Astyanax mexicanus: one gene and its partner. The protein of the gene in region 1 purifies or fractionates together with the protein of each later gene. This does not show direct contact. Links are inferred from orthologs where the notes say so. Each region holds a gene or a part of one and is shown on either strand. Other genes may lie near its edges.

What was found. The genes of interacting proteins can lie anywhere in the genome.
Region 2: the proteins of usp4 (region 1) and dcp1b purify together in Homo sapiens (co-immunoprecipitation; 3 studies listed by BioGRID and IntAct, with this or other methods). This does not show direct contact. The link is inferred for Astyanax mexicanus from reciprocal best matches to the Homo sapiens genes USP4 and DCP1B.

Annotation. Positions count from the first base shown.
Region 1 is NC_064412.1:15,131,153-15,141,581, reverse strand, and holds the start of usp4 (ubiquitin carboxyl-terminal hydrolase 4), read right to left. Parts: upstream 6,797-10,429; 5' UTR 6,761-6,796; coding exon 6,612-6,760; intron 5,047-6,611; coding exon 4,919-5,046; intron 4,499-4,918; coding exon 4,368-4,498; intron 4,240-4,367; coding exon 4,113-4,239; intron 4,001-4,112; coding exon 3,855-4,000; intron 3,700-3,854; coding exon 3,638-3,699; intron 3,541-3,637; coding exon 3,394-3,540; intron 3,218-3,393; coding exon 3,100-3,217; intron 2,948-3,099; coding exon 2,774-2,947; intron 2,346-2,773; coding exon 2,187-2,345; intron 1,733-2,186; coding exon 1,508-1,732; intron 1,306-1,507; coding exon 1,222-1,305; intron 1,077-1,221; coding exon 982-1,076; intron 898-981; coding exon 715-897; intron 540-714; coding exon 307-539; intron 159-306; coding exon 1-158. Other genes in the region: emc3 (ER membrane protein complex subunit 3), read right to left, coding at 8,894-9,022, 9,383-9,465, 9,636-9,715, 9,877-9,958, 10,104-10,208, 10,340-10,429.
Region 2 is NC_064409.1:1,378,695-1,389,123, reverse strand, and holds the start of dcp1b (mRNA-decapping enzyme 1B), read left to right. Parts: upstream 1-5,671; 5' UTR 5,672-6,734; coding exon 6,735-6,887; intron 6,888-8,831; coding exon 8,832-8,872; intron 8,873-9,856; coding exon 9,857-9,984; intron 9,985-9,999; exon of another isoform or gene 10,000-10,429. UniProt on the Homo sapiens protein: May play a role in the degradation of mRNAs, both in normal mRNA turnover and in nonsense-mediated mRNA decay. May remove the 7-methyl guanine cap structure from mRNA molecules, yielding a 5'-phosphorylated mRNA fragment and 7m-GDP.

The DNA.
Region 1 (10,429 bases):
CACCATACTGAAAGTAAAGAGTTTGGGTCGAGACGCTTTCCCAACACTACCAACAGGACCATTCTCGGGCTCTGAGCCCTCATCCTCTCCGTCCACAGTTTCTGACTGGCTGCTTTCGGGATCTGGGCTGTCTTGGTGGTCCATGGCCTCAACTTCACCTGTGAGAACACAAAAGAATAATAGAATTACACTCTATACAAAAATAATAACAATGGAGAATCCTGTATCAGCCCAACAATAAAAAACACTTCAAACACACAAAATTAAGAGTGACATGTCACTTGATATGCTGTATCAATAACTTACCATCACAAACTCCATTGGGGCCATTGCAGGTTTCAGAGTGGCTGCTGCTTCCATTGGTAGACCCAGCACTACAGGATGCTCCATCGGACATTGGGCTGCTACAGCTGCTCACACCTGCACTGTGATTGGACGCTGAAACTCCACAATCCACTGAGTGGCTACTGTTACAAGAAGTGGCTGAAGCAGAAGCTCTGCTGTCCACTACAGTGCCCTGTGAACGCTTCACATAGCGCCTAATAAAACAAATAAAAACAATGTCTCAGTATTCTACCTTTTAGTGTACCCTAGTTTGTCTTTTCAGCAGTCGGAAATTCATAATTTGTCCAATTTCATTCATTTACTTTGGGACACTAAGAGAACTTAAGGGGAAACATTCAACAATAAAAGTGATCCAAGTAAAGCACCCACCCGATTCTCTCCAGTACACGCTCATACAATGTGTCTTGGGAGAGATTGTGGCGAGGAACAGTGACGAGGAGAGGCTGCCCAAACAACATGGTGCCTGAAGAGCCTCCGCTGTGCTTCATGTGTCTCTCCCTGAAGTACACTGGCAAATTCATTCGCTCACTGTCCTCCTCCAACACCTCATAGCTACAACAAATAAGCAACTTGTCAATTACACAAATTCACCAGCCTGAAAAAAAAAAAAAAATCCGAGTCCTGTGTCCAACTTACATAAAGATGATGTCTTTGTCTACAATGTGGTTTAAACCTTCATCCTTTCTGTAGATTTTATGGAAACGATGATTGTAAACATCTGCCACAACCATCTAAAAAAGGGTGAGAAAAGCTCAAAACTTCAGAATGTTTTCTGATGCAAACTAATATTAAAGCAGCCTTTGAATCCTATATAAACTGGGTATAAATGAGAAAAAATAGCAGAACATTGAAAAGATCAAACATTTAAAATCTTACATTCTCTGCAGGAACTCCAGACAGTTTTGACAAAGCACTGCACAGGTCTGCCACTGTGCCTATTTTCGGGACAACTACACGGTACTTAAAGGACAGAAAACAGGGAAAATCAAAATATGATTTGACCTTCAGTTCATATTATCTAACCACTTTTAGCAAAACAACAAAACCAAAATGCTTCTGCACTAGTAAAGTAGTGCTATTCAACAAGCACACAATAACCACCCCGTTTCAATGTATATAAACAAAAGCTGGAGAAAATAAGTACAATCCTATATAAACTTACTTTTGTGGGTCTGGATAGAGGGTCGGCACAAACCAGGATCACCTCCATGGTGCGGTCCTTTTTCATGGGCAGGGGCAGCGTGAGGTAGCAGAAAGGATCAAAAGTCACAGACACTTTGGAGCACTCAGGGCAGACTAAGGTAGACTTGAACAAGCCATGAAAGATATCCACAATGATGGAGTCATTTCGGAGCCGATGGTTTGTCCAGGCCTCTTTAGCTACAATCTGTGAATGTAAAGTAAGCAAAATCAACCAAAGAAAAAAAACTCATGAAAGAATATAAAACAAATGCACATGTAATGCGACGAAAGGCACTGTCCTGCAGGTTAAAACTGACTAACACTATTTTATATTTAAACACTAAATTAGAAGAAAATATATATGTCCATGCAATCAACCTAGTCATTAACAACCTGAAGCCCTGTTATTGTTTTTAAAAAGACTCCTCAAAATATGTACATGAATGTCCTTCTAGGTCATTCTTTGAATTGCCATAATGTGTGGTTTATCATCTAGAACTCAAACATAAATATTAATGATTGACACTTCTAGAACCCCACTGCTCTATTTGTCATATTGGTTTTAATGAATATGAAACGGCAGAGAAGAAAAGGAAAAAAACACATAGAAATTCAGGATGTGTGAGAATCATAGTAAGTAGTATTGGTTATTGAAGTACCTCATCAGGCCGGCCCTCTGCATCTCTTAGGGCCAAGTAAGGCTTCTTCTTGACACGGTTAAGGTCTTCATGCAGGCCATCCAGCAAAAAGGCCAGCAGCTCCTGAGAGTCCTGCTGTTGGTACCCTGAGAACTGGGGGGCAAAGCGTCCGACCTGTGTCTGCACAAAGAAAAAACGTCAACCTCCAGGATAAGAATTTTTACTGCAGTCCTGGCAGACTGTGCTACAAATTTTGATTGTCCACAACTGGCTAAACATGTATGAGCTATTTGTATGAATAGTGCTGCACAATACAGTGCAAGTCAAAAGATACAAGACACCCTTTTATTTCAGAAACTAAATATGGCATCTTTCAAGACGGTAACCAATTTTTAAATATTGTCTAAAAAAGCTGCACCGATTTGCCTGATAAAATAATTTTACTCCAGTCTTAGATGCAGGGAATTCATTATTAAAGTCATGACATGTACTGTATCACTGATCTCTGATGCAATCTAGTGAAAACTGTTGGCTTTACCTGAAAATTCATACTAATTTTAACATAAACAGGTTGAATGTAATGCGTTCAGCATAGCTGCTTTACTTACTTTGAAAGTGCGGGGAGCCACATAGCTGCTTCGGCTAAGCCACATCTGTTTAACTAAGTCTGCATAGGCCTCAGCAATCTCTCCTCGCATGCCTAACGGATTCTCCCGATTGATCTCAGCTTCATACTGGTCCTCCAAAAAATATTCTGTTAGGGGCGGTGAATTGCTCAAGCACTGTAGAAAAATGACACCGATTTAGAAGGGAGTATATTCATCATAGATAAGTGCATGTTTATACTATGCTGACAACTATGTATGTACTATATTGAGTTTAGGGGGACTCAACATATAAAGGCAAGTGTGTGTGTGTGTGTGTGTGTGTGTACCTGCAGTGCAGAGTTCATGAAGCAGGTGTTGCCCAGATTACTAAGGCCACAGAGGCCAGGCTGTGAAGCAGATTCTCTGTAACTGTAGGACGAGCTGTAGGAGTTGTATCCTCCCAACCTGAAGAAGATTAAATAGTCAGTAAAAATTATATTTTAAACTAGAAAATAAATTGTGAGGATAGTTGTATAGGGACAGATTATGATTTAAAGGATTAAAGTCACTGATTAAAAAGTTAAAAACGTTTTTTTTCCCTAATGCATAGAACATAAAAAAGGGACTGTGTGAAAACATACCGGTTACCAGAAGAAGTGCTATTGTTTAGCATGTAACTAGAATTGCTGCTGCTGTCTCCATTGGTCACTGTGGATGAAATAGTGGCAGACGAATTGGAAGAGAATTTCGGTGACGTAGTAAAAGTCCTAGAGGTGGTTGTACTGGACCTGAAAGCAAATTAGTTCATATAAATAAATAAAAATTAGTGACATCAAATACTATTTATGGATAACTATTTATAATGATGACTTTGAATATATTCACTTGGTATGAGAGGCTTGTCTGGGCCATGTGCCATCTTCATTCTTCCTTTCAATTACAAGCACCTGAAAGAAAACAGTTAAACTATGAGCTCATACAAATCAAAGTACTCGCATGTAAGCACTTTCCAATTGCTTACCAGACAGTTACAAAAAATAATTTTGGCACTGAACAAAAAGAAGCAGAACATTATTAGCTGTATAGAATAGTAGAATCCTACCTGGCCCTGAAAAAGCCCAGCATCCTGAACAGTGCTGTCAGGCTTGTTCAGCTGCTCGTATGTGTTGCTCATGTACTTGTTCCACAATCGAGTTTCTTTTTCTGATGGGATGTTAAAAAGAGACCTCATCTCCTTTTCAATTGTATCTGAGACAAGAAAACAAACCATTATAAATCAGCAGCTGTGATATGACATCAGTGTATTTTCCAGCCTTTCCTGTAATTGGTCACAATACTGATACTATTCAAGGTCTCATACCAATGGTATCAGCTTTGCTGAAATGGCGTGTAACCACATTGTCCATGTTGTCATTCTCACACAGATTCAGCTCCAACAGATAGACTTCCACTTTACAGTGCTTCACAAACATCCCATGCTCAACCACCTAGTTGACACATCAAAACAAAATGCATCAGAAACACATTTATCTGAAGAAAAGTATGTGCTGTGATTACAAAGAAAATGTATATATTTCGAAATAAAGTACAGACTTAAGCGAAGGCAGTGCTTTACCTTCCTGACAATAGGTTTCTGTCCCTCCAGACAGCCATACCAACTAACAAGCTTATTCCAAGCTTCTGTGGGCACCAAGACATAGTCTAATTCATCTATAAGATGATCTTTTAGCGCTTGGGTTTCTTGGTCTGCAATACAATAGAGGAGACAAAAAAATGTTATGTAGCCCATTAAAACTGAAGCAATCCAAAGACAATCCAAATCTTTATTGCTATCATTACACACCTATTTAAGAGCAGTGTTCATTACAACAGCCATAATAAGTATGTAACTGTAACTCCACCAGTGCATTTGGCTATGATTTTTTTTTTTTAATTAAAATAATATTTTATTTTACTCTTTTCCTCATTACTCAAACAATGTTAATCCTGCCATAAAACTGCCCTTTCCATTTAACAATATAAAGTACAGGCACTAGACTCAACTTATGACAAAATGCCAACAATGAAGTTAGAAACATTTTTTTTTTGTTTTGTTTTTTTCATGACAGTGGCAGGATACATCTTATTCTAAAGACAGACATACATATGAATTTATAATTAACTTACCTGAAAACAGTCCCGAGTTGTCAATGGGTCCTGGGTATAGATTATGTTCTCCAACATTGTACATATCCCAACTGTCAAAGCCCACATATTTTTTCCACTGTTTGAACCACCTGCTGTCGATCAAAAACCTACAGGACATAGAAGGTTGGGTAGAGATTATTAAATTAAATTAGTGTTACAAGACTTACAAAGGCAAACAATCAAACCTTATCTTAATCTGATTAGGTAGTTTGCTCACTTATGGTAAACATTTGTTGTAATTCTTAACTACTCACAAAAACACAACACAAAAGTGAACTCTAATGCACTATTTAGCATCACCAATATAGAAACTGAAATAGAAATCCTTAATCGTCTCTAAACCAGGAACCTGTTCTACTGCATAAGCTTGTTAGCAAAGGATTCCATTTGACTAAGGCACCTGAATTATTTTGTTTGTGGTTTTGTTTTAAGTTGGGCTGGTCTTTGGACATAATCTAGAATGGGAACGCTCATGAAGCCATATCAAGAAAACCACTGTCATATGGTTAGTTAAATTAGCTAGGATAGCTAAAAACCCACCAGGCAGCACACTGCTAACTTTACTGACTGACAGCTAAACCGGCCGGTCAAGCAGGCGGGCATGTCTGTTGATTGACTGTAGCTACAAATATAAAGTGACGTTACGACGATATAGGTTAACATTGTGTGACAGCCAACTAATCTAGTTAACTTTACTCACTTTTTAAGGTTATTTGCCACGGACTATCTGTCTTTGGCTGCCAGTTTGCACAGGCACTGGGTGTTATCCAGTGCCCATGACAAAGCAGTAGCTTGCTAGCGTATGTTACTAACTAACATGACTGATATGTGCACTTATCTATCTAGCTGACCACACAGAACAGCCTGGCTACAAAATTATGTGTCTATAAATTAGCTAACTAGCCAGCTAGCTAACCTATCTATCTATTTTAATGCTTAGTTCCCCATGTAGCCGGCTAACAAGCAAGCAAGCTAACCTATCTGATAATATCATGCATGCGAGCAAGCTAAGCTAAGCTAGCTAACTACGTAATGTTAGCTAGCCAACCTGCCAGCAACTCCTTATAAGAAAATTCTAGCTAACAGAATTAGCTAGCTACAACCTATCTGGGTTTGAACAGCACACTGATAAATAACTAAATAATTTGTAGCTAGGTTAGCTAGCCAAAGAATGTGTCCAATTTATATAAGTTTAGAAAGATTACTAGTTAGCTAGCGTTAGCTTACCTAGCTAAGACAGCGTAGGGTGGCTAATGAGAGAATACTGAGAATACGTGTGACACATACCGGTAACGTTAGCTAGCTAGCTAACAGTGTAGCCGACTAGCTAAGCTATCTAGTTAGCTAACATTAGTTCAAACATATAGCTAGCTGTTGGTTATCTTAGCCAACTACCACACAGCTGGACAAAATATCCAAATATTCTAATAGTTAATAACCTTGCCAGTGAGGCAAATACTATAACCACCAAATTACTTCACTGTTAGCTTTAAAAAGCCCAGCAAGCTAACTAGTTAGCTTAGCTGTCTTAGCATAGCATAGCTAGATATCTAATAGTTCCGTGCCCGTAGTGAAGCGGTAGGCCTGAGGAGGGCTCCTAGCCGAGGCTACAGCAGCAGGTTTGCTAACTTTGCTCCACTCTAAATCCAGCCCTACTTATTCATAGTCTCACCATTCATCTCCCTTTCGCAGTGTGGTCTTCAGCGATGATCCTATCGTCTGTTTTTGACTGTCGATAGAAGGTACCGCCGCTTGAGCCGGCCCGGGCTCCGCATCAGGGTCCGAAGCGTTCCCCGACTCGGGTCCGCCTCCCTCCGCCATCGTGCAGTGAGTGAACCCGGAGCGCGTGTGGGCGCGCAGCTGTAGGGAGAGCGCGCTAGCCCGGCTGGCTAAAAGCTAGTAAACGCACCGCACCAGCCCAGCAAGTAAACCCAGCAGCAGGACTGCATCCAAATGTATTCATAATACTAAAGTAGATTTATATTAATAGAAAGGTATGAGTGGAACGAGAAGGAAATAGTTAACTTTATTTCAGTAATAATCAAACCCTCTTAAATACTCTGTTAAATAATGCACATATGCAAACTTGGCTACAAAAGACAATTGTTTTTGACTAGAAGAGTATTTAGACTTTGTTCATCTATCAAAATATTGTTATTACTTTTTTGTTACTAACCTATGCCAGCCAACTAGCTAGCTATCTAACTATAAAACTCGTTTGGTGGGGCCTTGTTATATCGATCAAACAAATGTGGACCACTGCTTCAGCATTATTGCCTTATGATCAAACAGAGGCAACAAATAAAAATAATTGAGGTAAATAAAAAGCAAAAATAGCAAAAATACATTTTCTAAATATACTTCTTTTCATATTTAACATTTAGGAGACAGTGTAATAATCAAAAAAGTGGTTTGTTGCTTGAAGGCAGGACAATACCATACTGTAGAGGGTTAAATGTTTTTGAGAAGAAATAAATTAATCATTACAATAAAAGAGTATATTGTTAATAAAACTAACATTTATGACAGTAGATACCAAAATGACTTCTCTGGTGGTACTACAGAAATTGATTTGGATATCCAGTAACACAGATTAGCAGTGTCTGTAATATGTTCTGAAAAATACACGGCTATGTCTCCCCTGCTTGTGGAGATAATAGAACCCACATTAAAAATAATCATACAGATAGTATATAAGTCAAAATAATGTGTTTCTTAGTAGTCTATGAGAAGTCATAATTATGATACACTAAGTCAGTTATATGGAAGTCTGTTACACTTATGGCACACTAGCTAAGTCACTTAGCATGACTTACATTTCTTCTTATGACTTACAATCTTGCCATTGTATTTATTATACGTGAGTTTCCTTATCCCCTAAGTAGCAGTGATAGGCAACCATACATTCTAGATCTGCTCATGCAATATGCTCCACAGTGTACAACAAAAAAACAACAAGTTGCTGGTGGTTCAGAATAAAAAAAAAATCACTCTACCTCACAATTAATTATGACACAAACACAGTTTTGGTAAAACAAGTTCTATTATGGGTGAACATTTCCTGCAACTGTACGAGGGTGTCAAAAGTCACTTTACAAAACATAATAAAAATGTTACAAAACTAATTAAATAAATACAAAACTAAGCACAACAATGGATCATGCCTTTTGGAAATGTTAGAGACACTACCAGACTACGGGTACTTTAATACACAACAGACAAGGATCAGGGGCATAGTAGGACCACACTAAGCTGCTGTCCATCAGGGAAGCACTAGTGATCCCAAACATAATGGTCAGACACATATGACTGAACCTCAGTAGTTTTGGCTTGGTCCACTTTCTAAAATTCCTCCAATTAACCATGGTCCCATTAATCCTCTGGTCTAATAAAACAAAACCTACATGGATGCTTTAAAAGGAAACAAAAATACATTATAATAATGGTGTTTATGATCAGACCAGGGTGTAATACTACTGTAAGCTGTATTATCTTATTTTCATTCCACCTGGTTCAGTTTAACACTGCTTTCAACTCAACCAAGTGTATTTATAATCAAACTCGTACATTGTTTGCTCAGCAGTAAAAATAGTTTCACGATATATACTACCTGATGCCACAACAGCCCCCAAGGGTTGCATTGTAGTGTGACTGTATTTTTGCTCTATTACAAGTAGCAACTGAAAAAGAGTTAAGTTAAAACGTTAAGCTTAAAATCATAATCTAAACTACTTCTATAATACAAAAAGCATGGGATGAATGAAAAAAATGAAACAGTGCATGCACATGTGATATGTTGCAGTGAGGTTTATGCAAGTCATCAGGAACTAACAGGTGTCTGATCAGTTCCAAAACCAGTCCACACATTTTTTTTAAATTATAATTATATTTAAATAATATAATTATAATTAGATTATGGCTGATGAGATTTAAGTTCCTTAATGTAACAGGCCATTAGAAAATTCCTGTTGGCAAATCTTTGCTAAACATGCCAGACAGGTCCAAGTCCTTGCTCATCAGGTCCTCCTCCACACTCTCTAGTGCCCACTGGTGGTCTGTCAACTCCAAAGCCTCCCATTCTGCCTGAGGACAAGATAAAAGTGAGAGTTATAGAACATTCTGCAACATTAAGTGTAGCTAAAGTGACAAATCAATATCTAGGCTTGTTGGGTAAGTTTGCTCTGGCCTTTACTGTGTGCTAAAAACTGGAATGTGTTTTTTTTTTCTCAAATTCATAAGAATTCTCCACATTGATCATATTGACTGTGTGTTGTTTAAGGCATTTTATCAAAGTTAATACTTTTGTATAGCACTTTTTACAAACTGTTGTGATTACAAAGCATCTTTACAGAATTCCAGTACATAACAAATCATAAGGCAAAGATGTAACCCCACAAAACATTTAAATAATTTATATAACTTAACATCATTTTGTCCAGTTACCTTAAATGCTTTGTTTGTGTCTGCAGGCATTGCCATGGCAGCACCACTCATTTGGTCCTGCATGATTCGAGACTGATCCGCACCTATAACAGTAACATAACTTGTTAATAGTTTCTTTACTAAAAGCATTCAAACACAAACCTTAATGCCTTAAATGCAATAAAACAACCCCATCAAACAATTTTTAAAAACTGTATCTGCATCAATATAAAATTGAGAAAATGCATCATAAATTAGAAAGGAAGCTTCTTACCATTATCTTGCCCAAGGATCAAAGAATACATGCTTCTTAAGCCAAAAACATTCAAGAAATACCAGGATGCAGAGCTTACCCTATGGATGTAAATAGCAAGAATACTTATGACACAACCTTACTGGTTACCATATTAACTGCACCAGTTATGACATTACATTATTTGCACTGATACACAAAAGTAACAACAACAATACAAATTGGGTGTGTTCGTATAAAATTGTATCTGGAAACTACTTACCAAGATGCATCAAGTGAGAGCAACTCAATACCCTGCTGCAACATTGGCTTAAAACGGAGTGTGAGCGGAAATGGTACTTTAGCTAAGAAGAGAATATTTTTGTTGCTTAGTGTACAGACCAACTGACAAAATACATATTATATGTTATTACATGGTGTCACTGTTCATTCTGATAATCCAACAAGCAAATAAATATAATTTTTGTTCAAATTAAAAACATTCCTTACTTGTAACAAACCCAGAAAATGTCCAGTTGATCCAGCCACCAATGAGGATCATGGGAAGAACATTTGTTACATTGCCTTTCATCATGTCTGTCAACATGCTGGGGTCTGTAATGATATATCCACAGGTTAAATTAATATTTAATTAAACATTTCAAGAATATGAATATCAGAAAAATCAGAAAAATTAACTAAAATGTCAGTGAAGCAAAAGTCCTGCATAAGATAGCCCCACATACCAGTCATTGGAGAGGGAGGAACCACCTTTCTTTTTGTCTTTTTAAAGAACCCATCATCTTGGTTATTGAAGTAAAATTTCCTCATTAAGA
Region 2 (10,429 bases), on another chromosome or scaffold:
AGAGAGAGAGAGAGAGAGAGAGAGAGAGAGGGAGGAAAAGAAGGGAAGGAGGGAGGGAGGGAAACAAAACAACCCCAACAAGATAGGTTGGGGGGGAAAAAAGAAAGAAAGAAAGAAATGAAAGAGGTGGGTAGGTTGGGTTAGAGGGGTTGGTGGGGTTGGTTGGTTGAGGAAGGAGGAAGGAGGGAAGGAAGGAAGGTAGAAGGAGAGAGGGAAAAGGGGGAGGAGGGAAAATGAAGAAGAAGGGAAAGCAAAGGAGGAGGAGGGGAAAGGAGGGGAAAAAAAGCTGGAGTTTCTCCCTGTTCCTCTGGTTGGAGTTAATATTACCTGATCCCCGTTATGGAGTGAAAAATCAGAAACGGGTACAGGCTGGAGGAGCCTAGCAGAACGAACCAGTGCATCCTTGGAACATCCGGGCCTTTCCTCAGAAACACGACACCCCCCCAACCCAACGCCTCAGCACCCACTTGCTGCTGCTGCTGGAGGAGGAAGAGGAGGAAGAAGAGGAGGAGGAGGAGGAGGAGGAAGGAGGAGAAGAACTGATCGAACTGATCGCCCCAAATGGTGGCAGCTCTATCTGTTATTCGTTCTTCTTATTGTTTGTTCTGGAGGAGAAGGATCTGATGGATGGATGCAGCAGCAGCCACGAGAATAAGAAGAAAAAGATGATGATGATGAAGAAGAAGAAGAAGAAAAAGACGAGGAGAAGGAGAGAGGGAAAGAAGAGAAAATGAACAGAGAAGAAAAATAGAGAAGGTAGAAGAAGGTAAAAGAAGAAGAAGAAGGCAGGGAGAGGAGGGCTGGCGTATTCCAGATTCCAGATCTCACGGGGTTAAATCTTCTCCACTGATGGATTCCATGTGCGCTTCAGCCGCTTCAGCCGCTCCTGCCGCCGCCGCAACCGCCGCTGCTGCTCCCGGGGACGGGGGTCGGACCGCTCGGTATAACGGCTCGTGCCGAGTCCATAACGGAGAGAGGGAGTGAGAGTGAGAGTGAGAGAGAGAGAGAGAGAGAGAGAGAGAGAGAGAGAGAGAGAGAGAGAGAGAGAGAGGGAGGGAGCGGGAGGGAGGAGGAGAAAAAAGAAAAGAACGGAAAAAAAACGCAGGAGTTTCTCGGTGGCCTTTGCGGAGAGGAGAGCGCGCGGCTCGCCTCTGCTGCCTCTCTGCAGTATAATACTGGAGTGAGAGAGAGAGAGAGAGAGAGAGAGAGAGGGAGAGAGAGAGAGGAAGGGGGGGCTTGGTTCGTCACCCCCTCCTCTCTCTCTCTCTCTCTCTCTCTCTCTCTCTCTCTGTACTGTAGACTCTCTGACTGCTTCCAGATGTTGCTGCGCTACAGAACTCCAGATTATAAATTCTCCACGATTTTCCACACGTGGGGAGGAAACTGTGGAGCTGGTGGAGGTGGAGAAGGTAGGAAAGATTGTGGAGTTGCAGGAATGGAGGAGGTGGTGGAGGTAGAGGAGGTGGAGAAGGTGAAAGAGGTCCAGAGGTGGTGCAGAAGGTGTTGGAGGTGGATGAAGTAAAGGAGATGGTGGAGGTGGAATATATGGTGAAGGTAAAGGAGATGGAGGAGATGTTGGAAGAGATGGTGGAGATGCAGGAGGTGGTGGAAAGGGAGGAGCTGGTGGAGGTGCAAAAGGTGGTGGAGATAGAGGAGATAGTGAACATGTAGGAGGTGGTGTAGAAGGAGGACATGGAGGAAATAGAGGAAGTGGTGGAGGTAAAGAAGGTGCAGGAGGTGGAGATGATAGAGGTGGTGAAAATGGAAAAGGTGAAAGAGGTGGAGTAGATGGTGGATTTGGAAGAGGTGGAGGAGGTGAAGGTGTAGGAGGTGGAGAAGGTGAAAGAGGTGGAGGAGATGATGGAGGTGCAGGAGGTGGGGTAATTAGTGGAGGTGAAGAAGGTGTAGGAGGTGGAAAATGTGAAAGAAATGGAGTAGATTGTGCATTTGGAAGAAGTGTAGGAGGAGGTGGAGGAGATGGAGGAGATAAAGAAAGTGGTGGAGGTAAAGAAGGTGCAAAAGGTGGAGATGATAGAGGTGGTGAAAATGGAAAAAGTAAAAGAGGTTGAAAAGATGGTGGATTTTGAAGAGGTGGAGGAGGTGAAGGTGTAGGAGGTGGAGAACGTGAAAGAAGAAAGTAGATAATGGATTTGGAAGAGGTGTAGGAGGAAGTGGAGGTGAAGGAGGTGTTGAAGATGGAGGAGTTGGTGGAGTGGTGTTGGAGGAGGAGGTGGAGGTGCAGAAGGTGGAGGAGATGGTAGAGGTGCAAGAACTGGTGGCATTGGTGGAAATGATAGAGGTGGTAAAGGTGCAGTAGTTGGTGGAGATAACTCCTTAATAAGCCATAGCTATGCATTTTGATCTGTTCTCTCTTAGTTGTGACCACAACTTATACTTTTTTACATGATGTCACCTATAAAAAATGTAATATATATATATATATATATATATATATATATATATATATATATATATATATATATATATATATATATATATATACACCTATAAAAAATAATAATGTGTGGCCATGACTTATTAAGGTGTGGGGTGTTAAGGTGTTTTTCTCTGAACTCCGTGCTCCTCCATTAATTTTAATCCCGTCCGGACGCACATCTCTGAGTTTCCTCTTCTCGTGTTTTTATAAAATAGCTATTTGTCCACTGCTGCGCACCGTAGTTACACTTAAACACTTTGGGTGCCAGGGTTTCCACGGAGATCCACGTAAAAAAAAAAAAAACACAAAAGCAAGTGGAAATGGAGGAGCTATTGAACTCTGTGATGTCACGTGATAGAGAAAAAACCTTAAAAAGCCTTAACGAGCCTAAAACTCACTGGTCCTCCTGTTTTTTTTGTTTTTGTTTTTTTTTTTGCAGTCCGAATGCAGGAGTTTTATCACTGAGTAGAAGAGTGAAATATTTTACACAGAGAAAATAATGCAACTTGGAATGAGATGCAGTGAAATATAAAGATATGAACTCGGGAAAAGAATAAAGATGATCCTGCTTTCTAGGAATTGCTGGATTTCTCAGTGCTCATAACAACAATATTTAACTGGCTGGACTCAGTGTAAGTTCTGATTAGCTCCTCCCTCTTCTTTCTTTTCTTTCTTTATTTCTTTTTCTTTTTTTCTTTTTTCATCCCCCTCTCCTGCTGCACTGCGGTCGTGATGGAAGAGGGTTTGATAAAGCGTCTGGCAGGGCCTGGGAATCTGTGCGGGATGGTTTAGGATCTGTCATCGTCGAATGCCTTATTACCAGAGTTTGAGTTTAGCAGCAGGACTTTTCCTCTTGGCCCTGGGAAAATTTCCCATTCTCTCTAGAGACCCCACTACACGACACCCCCCCCCCTCCACCCAAACCCCCAACCACTCCAAACACCACCTCCACCCGAAGCCTTCAAACACCAAACACACACACTTCAGACTGTAGCTTCCCCCCAAAAAAAATCACACAGCATTAAAAACATCTCAGTGATAAAACCTCCTGATGAACACGTCTGAACTCACGTCTGTTAAAAAGCCTCTCTCTAAAAAAGAAAGAGGACTTTTATCAGCACATGATGGAAGTGTCCTACTTACAGAGCCCACATTCACCCTTCCCCATGAGATCCACTTACAACATTTGTCTGGTTTTATGCATCAAAGTATATTCATGCACAGATATACAGCACCAGTCAAAAGTCTGAACACATTTCTTCTTTTGTCTATTGTGTTTCTTTTCTTTTAATGATTTTTTTACATTGTAAAATTAATATTAAAGACTATATTAAAGCTGTACATGAACATGTGTGGAATGATAATGTATGATAAATAGCAACATTAAGCTTTAAGGACAGATCTGCACAAAAAAACTACATATATTTATATTAGCCAGTGGCATATTATGCATGTGACTGCTTTTCTACCTGTTGGCGGCGCCCCCGGTGGTCTGTGGTGGTATTGCTACCCTAAACATCGTTATAACGTATGCGCAAAAAATGTATTTCTTAATGGACTTTTGTAAACAAAAATCTTGATATTGTTCAAATATATTAGCGCTTCTCGTTTATGATTCAGACTTTTATTTTTTTACATAAGAACTTCATTTTTATTTGTTTAAATGTGTTGTTTTAAGTGATGTGTTGCTATTGTTTGTAAAAAAAATGTTTACAAATAATAAACAGAACACTTTAATCTTTAATCGTATTGTTCTTTTATGTATAAGCATAATTTTTTTTTATTCTTATGGGTACAATCAGGCAACATTTTGTCAGCTAAGTCAACATAACATTAGAAAAGAGTTAAATTGCTCAACAAAGACACCTAAGCGGAGCCACAACCCACAACTGTGCAATTAACAGGAGTGAGTGCCAGTAACAGGAGTGATTTTTTTTTGTCATAAATATCAATTATTTGAACATGCAGTCTATAACCATTTCTTTAAAACAAATATTTTCTTGAGAGAAAATCAAAGGAATTAGTGAACTTGCTTAGACTCAGAGTTAGAATACTGAGAATTAAAAAAAATATATTAAAAAATATGTTTAATTTGGAAAAAACAAGCAAATGGTACCCATTCAGTGGAATAGCCCAAATACAAATTACTTGTTTATTTTAAGCTATATTGCAGAATTTCCTCTAATGCCACACTCGCTTCAACAGAAAACTGAATTGCACTAAAATATAAATATATAGGATCAAAGAGTTCATCATTACTGTCTCCAGCTCATTTAACCACCTCTTTTATTTACTGATCAATTCTAAACTCTGCTTTATTTCCTCGGCTCTTCACTCACTGCTTAGCAACTGCTGCTGCTATCACCACCATCACCACCTCCACCGAGAAGATTCAGAGCTTTCTTTAGCTCTGTGACAAAACTGGAGATATTCTGAATGTAAAGATTCAGAAGCCGTGGGGAAACTCAGTAGATGCAGCTTTCATTTTCCAGCAGGACTTGGCACACTGCACACACTGCCAAAAGTACCAATTAGTCTTATATAATATTCTAATTTTCTGACAAAAGCTAACCATCATGTAAACACTCATCACAATCAGCTACACCTTTGTTTGCTGAAAGGTTATTCATTTTATTCGCTTAGTGGTTCAGTAGATAATATGAGCTAGTTAGAGTGGATTATCATTATTATCATTATTTAACTAACCTATTCAAACCTGAATTATTTCCAGTGATATATATATATATATATATATATATATATATATATATATATATATATATATATATATATATATATATATGAATGTTTTTTTCTGTCTGCAATGCATTTAAAATGATCAATAAATAAACTTTATATATTAATTAATATAATATTATTTGGATTTGTAATGTCTACTGCAGCAAAACAATAAAAACATTGTATGTTCATTCTACACATATTTTATATGAATTTTGTTTTACAAATAATTCCTAAGCAGTAAAATAAACTTAATTCATCAATAAATAAATTATTATTTGATTTCTATGTTTACTGCATGAAAATATATATATATGTTTTTTTGTTTTAACATATTTATAAATGTAAAAAAAGCTGAATGAGAAGACTGGTGTCTTTAAACACACACACACACACACACACACACACACGCACACACTCACTCACTCACTCTCCTCACTGTGAGCGGCGGGCGGTGCTGTTCTCGGCCGGGTGGGGGCGCTGTGCTCCGCGGGTCTCCACAGATCCGCCGCTTCAGTTCAGGAGAAGAAGAGGAGAAGTTACAGCGAGATGTTGCTGGATGAAATAAACCGGATTAAAGCGCTTTTAAACCGGAGTAAATAACTCCAGTTCTTATTTCTGCTGTATGTAATACTGTGTTTATCTGAGGAGCCGCTCCGGAAAACAGCCGGACTTTTATTCCTGTAGTTTTATTAACGAAACTGCGACCAACACAACACTTCACCCTAACGCTACAGACTGAGAGCGTGAGACAGCTCTGAACCCCCTACCGCTGGACTAAGGTAAGAGTGAGACAGCTCTGAACCCTCCACCGCTACAGACTGAGAGAGAGAGACAGCTCTGAACCCTCTACAACTGGACGGAGGAGAAAGAGAAACAGTTCTAAACGCCGCTGGACTGAGGAGAGAGTGAGACAGCTCTGAATTTCCCGCTGGATGGAGAGAATGAAACTGGTCTGAAAAAGTGAGACAGCTCTGAGCGTGTCTGAACTGAGAGAGTGAGACAATTCTGAACCCCCTACTGCTGGACTGAGGGAAGAGTGAGACAGCTTTGAACGCCGCTGGACTGAGATATTGAGATAGGTCTAAATTTCCTTTTAGGACCTAGATTGTGAGACAGCTCTGAGAAAGTGAGACAGCTCTGAATGCTGCGGGACTGAGAAAGTGAGACAGGTATGATTTTACTTCTGCACTGAGAGCGTGAGACAGCTCTGAACCCCGCTGGACTGACAGAGTTTGACAGATCTTAATTTCCCCTTTAAACTGAGAGTGTGAGACAGCTCTGAGAAAGTTAGACAGCTCTGAATACCGCTGAACTAAGAGAGTGAGGCAGCTCTGAATTTCCCCCTGGACTGAGAGAGTGAGACAGCTCTGGAACCCCCTGGTATGAGAGAGTGAGACAGTTCTGAATTTCCCTCTGCACTAAGAGAGTGAGACAGCTCTAAATTTCCCTCTGGACTGAGAGTGTGAGACAGCTCTGAATTTCCCTCTGGACTGAGATAGTTAGACAGCTCTGAATTTCCCTTTGGGCTGAGAGAGTGAGACAGCTCTGAACAGCCATGAGCTCATTTGGTGGGGTTACCTGTCTCACCACCAAGGGTCTGGACATCAGTCTGGCGGCTCTGCAGAGACAGGACCCCTATATTAATAATATCGTGGATGTGGCGAGTCAGGTCGCCCTCTACACCTTTAATAACGAGACTAACGAGTGGGTGAGTCTACAGCAACACCATAGCAACCATTTAGCAACCAGCTTGGAGACCATCGCAACACCTTAGCATACACCTAGCAACCGCTTAGCAACAACATAGCAACCACCACAGATACTGTAGCAACACCTTAGCAACCACCTAGCTACCACTTAGAAACACCATAGCAACCACTTAGCAACCAGCACGAATAACATTGCAACACCTTAGCACACACCTAGTAACCGCTTTGCAACATCTAAGCAACCACTTAGCAACACCATTGCAACCACCACAGATACCATACATAGTAACACCCTAGCAACCACTTAGCAACCAGCATGAATAACATTGCAACACCTTAGCATACACCTAGCAAACCACCAGGAACACCTCAGCAACCACTTAGCAACACCTTAGCAACTGCATAGCAGGGAAGAGCCTAATGCAAAAAATATATATACATTATCAACATTAACATTTTAATATTTTGACATTATAGTTATTATAGCTTTTAGTAAAATGTGTTTTAGGGAGGGGGTTGGGGCCTAGTGCAATATAGGATATTACTTTTACTTTTATACTTTAAGTAGTTTTAAATCCAGTACTTTTTAAACACTTTTACTAAAAGAGTAAAAAGCTTGAGTTGATTCTTCTTTAACTTTTACAGAAGTATTTTATTAAATTCTAGTATTTATACTTCTACCTACAGAGTATGAATGGAGATACTTTTCACATCTTTGTCTTAAAATATAAAATTAATATTAAAGCTCACCTTCCGCGAAAATCCAATTTTTCTTGTTTTTTTGTGGAATACAGTAGGTCTCTCCGAGTTGAATGTGTACACCTGCACATTAAACTGTTTTGCAGCCCCCATTGTCTGCAGGAGCTAAGCAAAGAAATCCCCCCTCCCCCCCTCCGAAAAACGGGTGAATTTTGAATTATCTTTCTGCCTACGTAGGCAGAAACTCACAGACCAGCCCACCTTGGCTCGAGAAACTCCCAGAGGCGGAGCTGAAGCGACGCAACATCACCGCTCATCAGTTAGGAGGTGGGAGGCAGTGAGCGGCAGAGCGGCGGAGGGGCGTCGCAGTGCTCCTAGCCAATCAGAGGAGAGATATTTGCATGCTGTTTGCATGTATGAATATTCATGAGCAAAGCTGGAATCCGGTCATTTTGGACACACCCCTAAAACAGTCCATTAAAAAAGAGCTATACAGAGACACCTGAGCACTTTTTTTTTTACAAAAACGGCTCACATGTCATTCATTCATACTAGAGACCACAACTAGACATTTTAAAATGAAAGAAAAAACGACGGAAGGTGAGCTTTAAATAAAAATAGAATTAGATAGAAAGCTAGCTTAGCTTTCTCACTGATTTACTGCTTGTTTTAAATGCATATCGTATTGTATGCAATAATATCGCCAACATTTTTTAATATGGTGAACGATAGATATTATACCCTGTAATATGGCGCAATATCACCCACCCCTAATTATCTACTTTTTTTATCAAAAGAAAAATTCACACTGTTCTCATTTCCAATTATATATCTACTAGAGACAGATTATATCTGTCCAGTATCATTTATTTTACTTTAATCCTGTATATACGGAGATATTTAGGAGCATTATTATTATTATTAGTAGTAGTAGTATCATGATATTGTGGATCATTTACTTCTGTTACAAATCTGATAAAATTATTCTCTTTTTTTTGTATTTATCTCAGTTAGGCGTGTGCCGTATCGTATGCAATAATAAAATTTTATTTAAATTTGAATTTTGTTGCAGTAGTGTATTCTTAGATTTTTTTTACAATTCATTGTTTTGTCATGATCGCCAAGAGTATCGTTATATTGTATAAAAATACCATGAAATATCGTGATATTATTTTAGGGCCGTATCGCCCACCCCAATAAGACAGACTGAAATTAACTGACTCTTATTTTGTTCTGTTTTTCAGGAGAAGACTGAAATTGAGGGGACGTTGTTTGTGTATACGAGGTAATAAACATGATCACTATAGAGAGAGATAAGAGTTAAATAGTGGAGAAAGTGAAAAGTGCACTGGATTCATGGTGTGATTTATGAGGTGTGAAAGATGGCGGTAGTGAATAGTGCGACAGGTATGTGCAGCAGCTCCTGGAGCCGAACTCCTCATCTGTTTCAGCGCTGTTATTAAACATGTCTGCAGTACAGTGGCTGCTGAAGTGCAGTTAAACAAATCGTCTTCCTGTTCTCTGAATGCCTCTGTGATTGGGTGATGCTTCCATGCAGAAAAACAATGTACTGACAGAAACAAAGTTCTCTCACAGCAGCTTAGAGCAGATCAGAGAGGAAAATATGGAAACTTTTAGCTTTAATTACGGCATGAATTAGCTGTGGCATCGTTTCCACATGTTTCTGCAATGTTTCAACATTTATTTCTGTAATTTATTACATTTCTCCTAAAGTTCTTACTCATATTGATGATGGGATCTTTGGAGCACTATGCAGAGTCCTCTCCAGGGCTGAGAGGTTAATCAAATTCATTTGATGAATTTGGTTCTGATACATCAGCTCACAGACGCAGCCTCGTGCTGATCAACATCACCCTAAGAGCGCCATCAATGCAAACATCTACTCTCTCAGGGCTCCGGCAGCTGATGGCAAGCTGCATGACCGGGATTCGAACCAGCGATCTCCCGATAATTGTGGCAGCACTTTAGATCGCTTAACCATCGTTTTTGGTGTTTAAAGTGATTTTAAAGTATGATAATAAAATAAATTGTAGATTTTTACATATAGAGGCTCCAGAGTGAGTCTCAGTAGATTTAATAAAATTAATAAAGCTTAATGAAACAAATTGTTAGCTACATAAGAACTAAAAATCTGAGAATCATATATTTAAAGAATATCAATATTATTATTATTTTTTTTTTCTCCCCACATTGCCAGGCCCTACCCGCATCAGTTAACATTACAGTCGTTTCATTCTCTGTGTTTTAGACTCGCGTCTCCGAAGCATGGCTTTACCATCATGAACCGCCTCAGTATGGAGAACCTGACTGAACCAATCACCAAAGACCTGGACTTCCAGCTTCAGGACCCGTTTCTGCTCTACAGGAACGCTCGCTGTGAGTATTTCAGAATCATCTTCCTGTCCTCTTCCTGTCCTCTTCCTGTCATCTGCCTATCATCTTCTAGAACACCCATTTTATTGGTAGGATGTAAAATGTCCCTCAGAGTAGAGAGGTTCTGGTCACTCTGTGGAGGAGATGTAGGAGATGTATGATGGTGGGTGGAGGTGATGGAGGAGATTTATGTGCTCTGGGGGTGAGTGTGTAGTTAAGGGAAGGTAGATGATGGTGTGTAGGAGATGGAGTAGATGTATGATGGTGGGTGGAGGAGGTGGAGGTGATGGAGTAGATGTATGATTGTGGGTGGAGGAGGCGGAGAAGATGAAGGGGAGGTATGGTGGTGGATGGAGGAGGTGGAGGTGATGGAGATGTATGATGGTGGGTGGAGGAGATATAGGAGATGGATGTGCTCTGGGAATGAGTGTGTAGTAAAGGGAAGGTA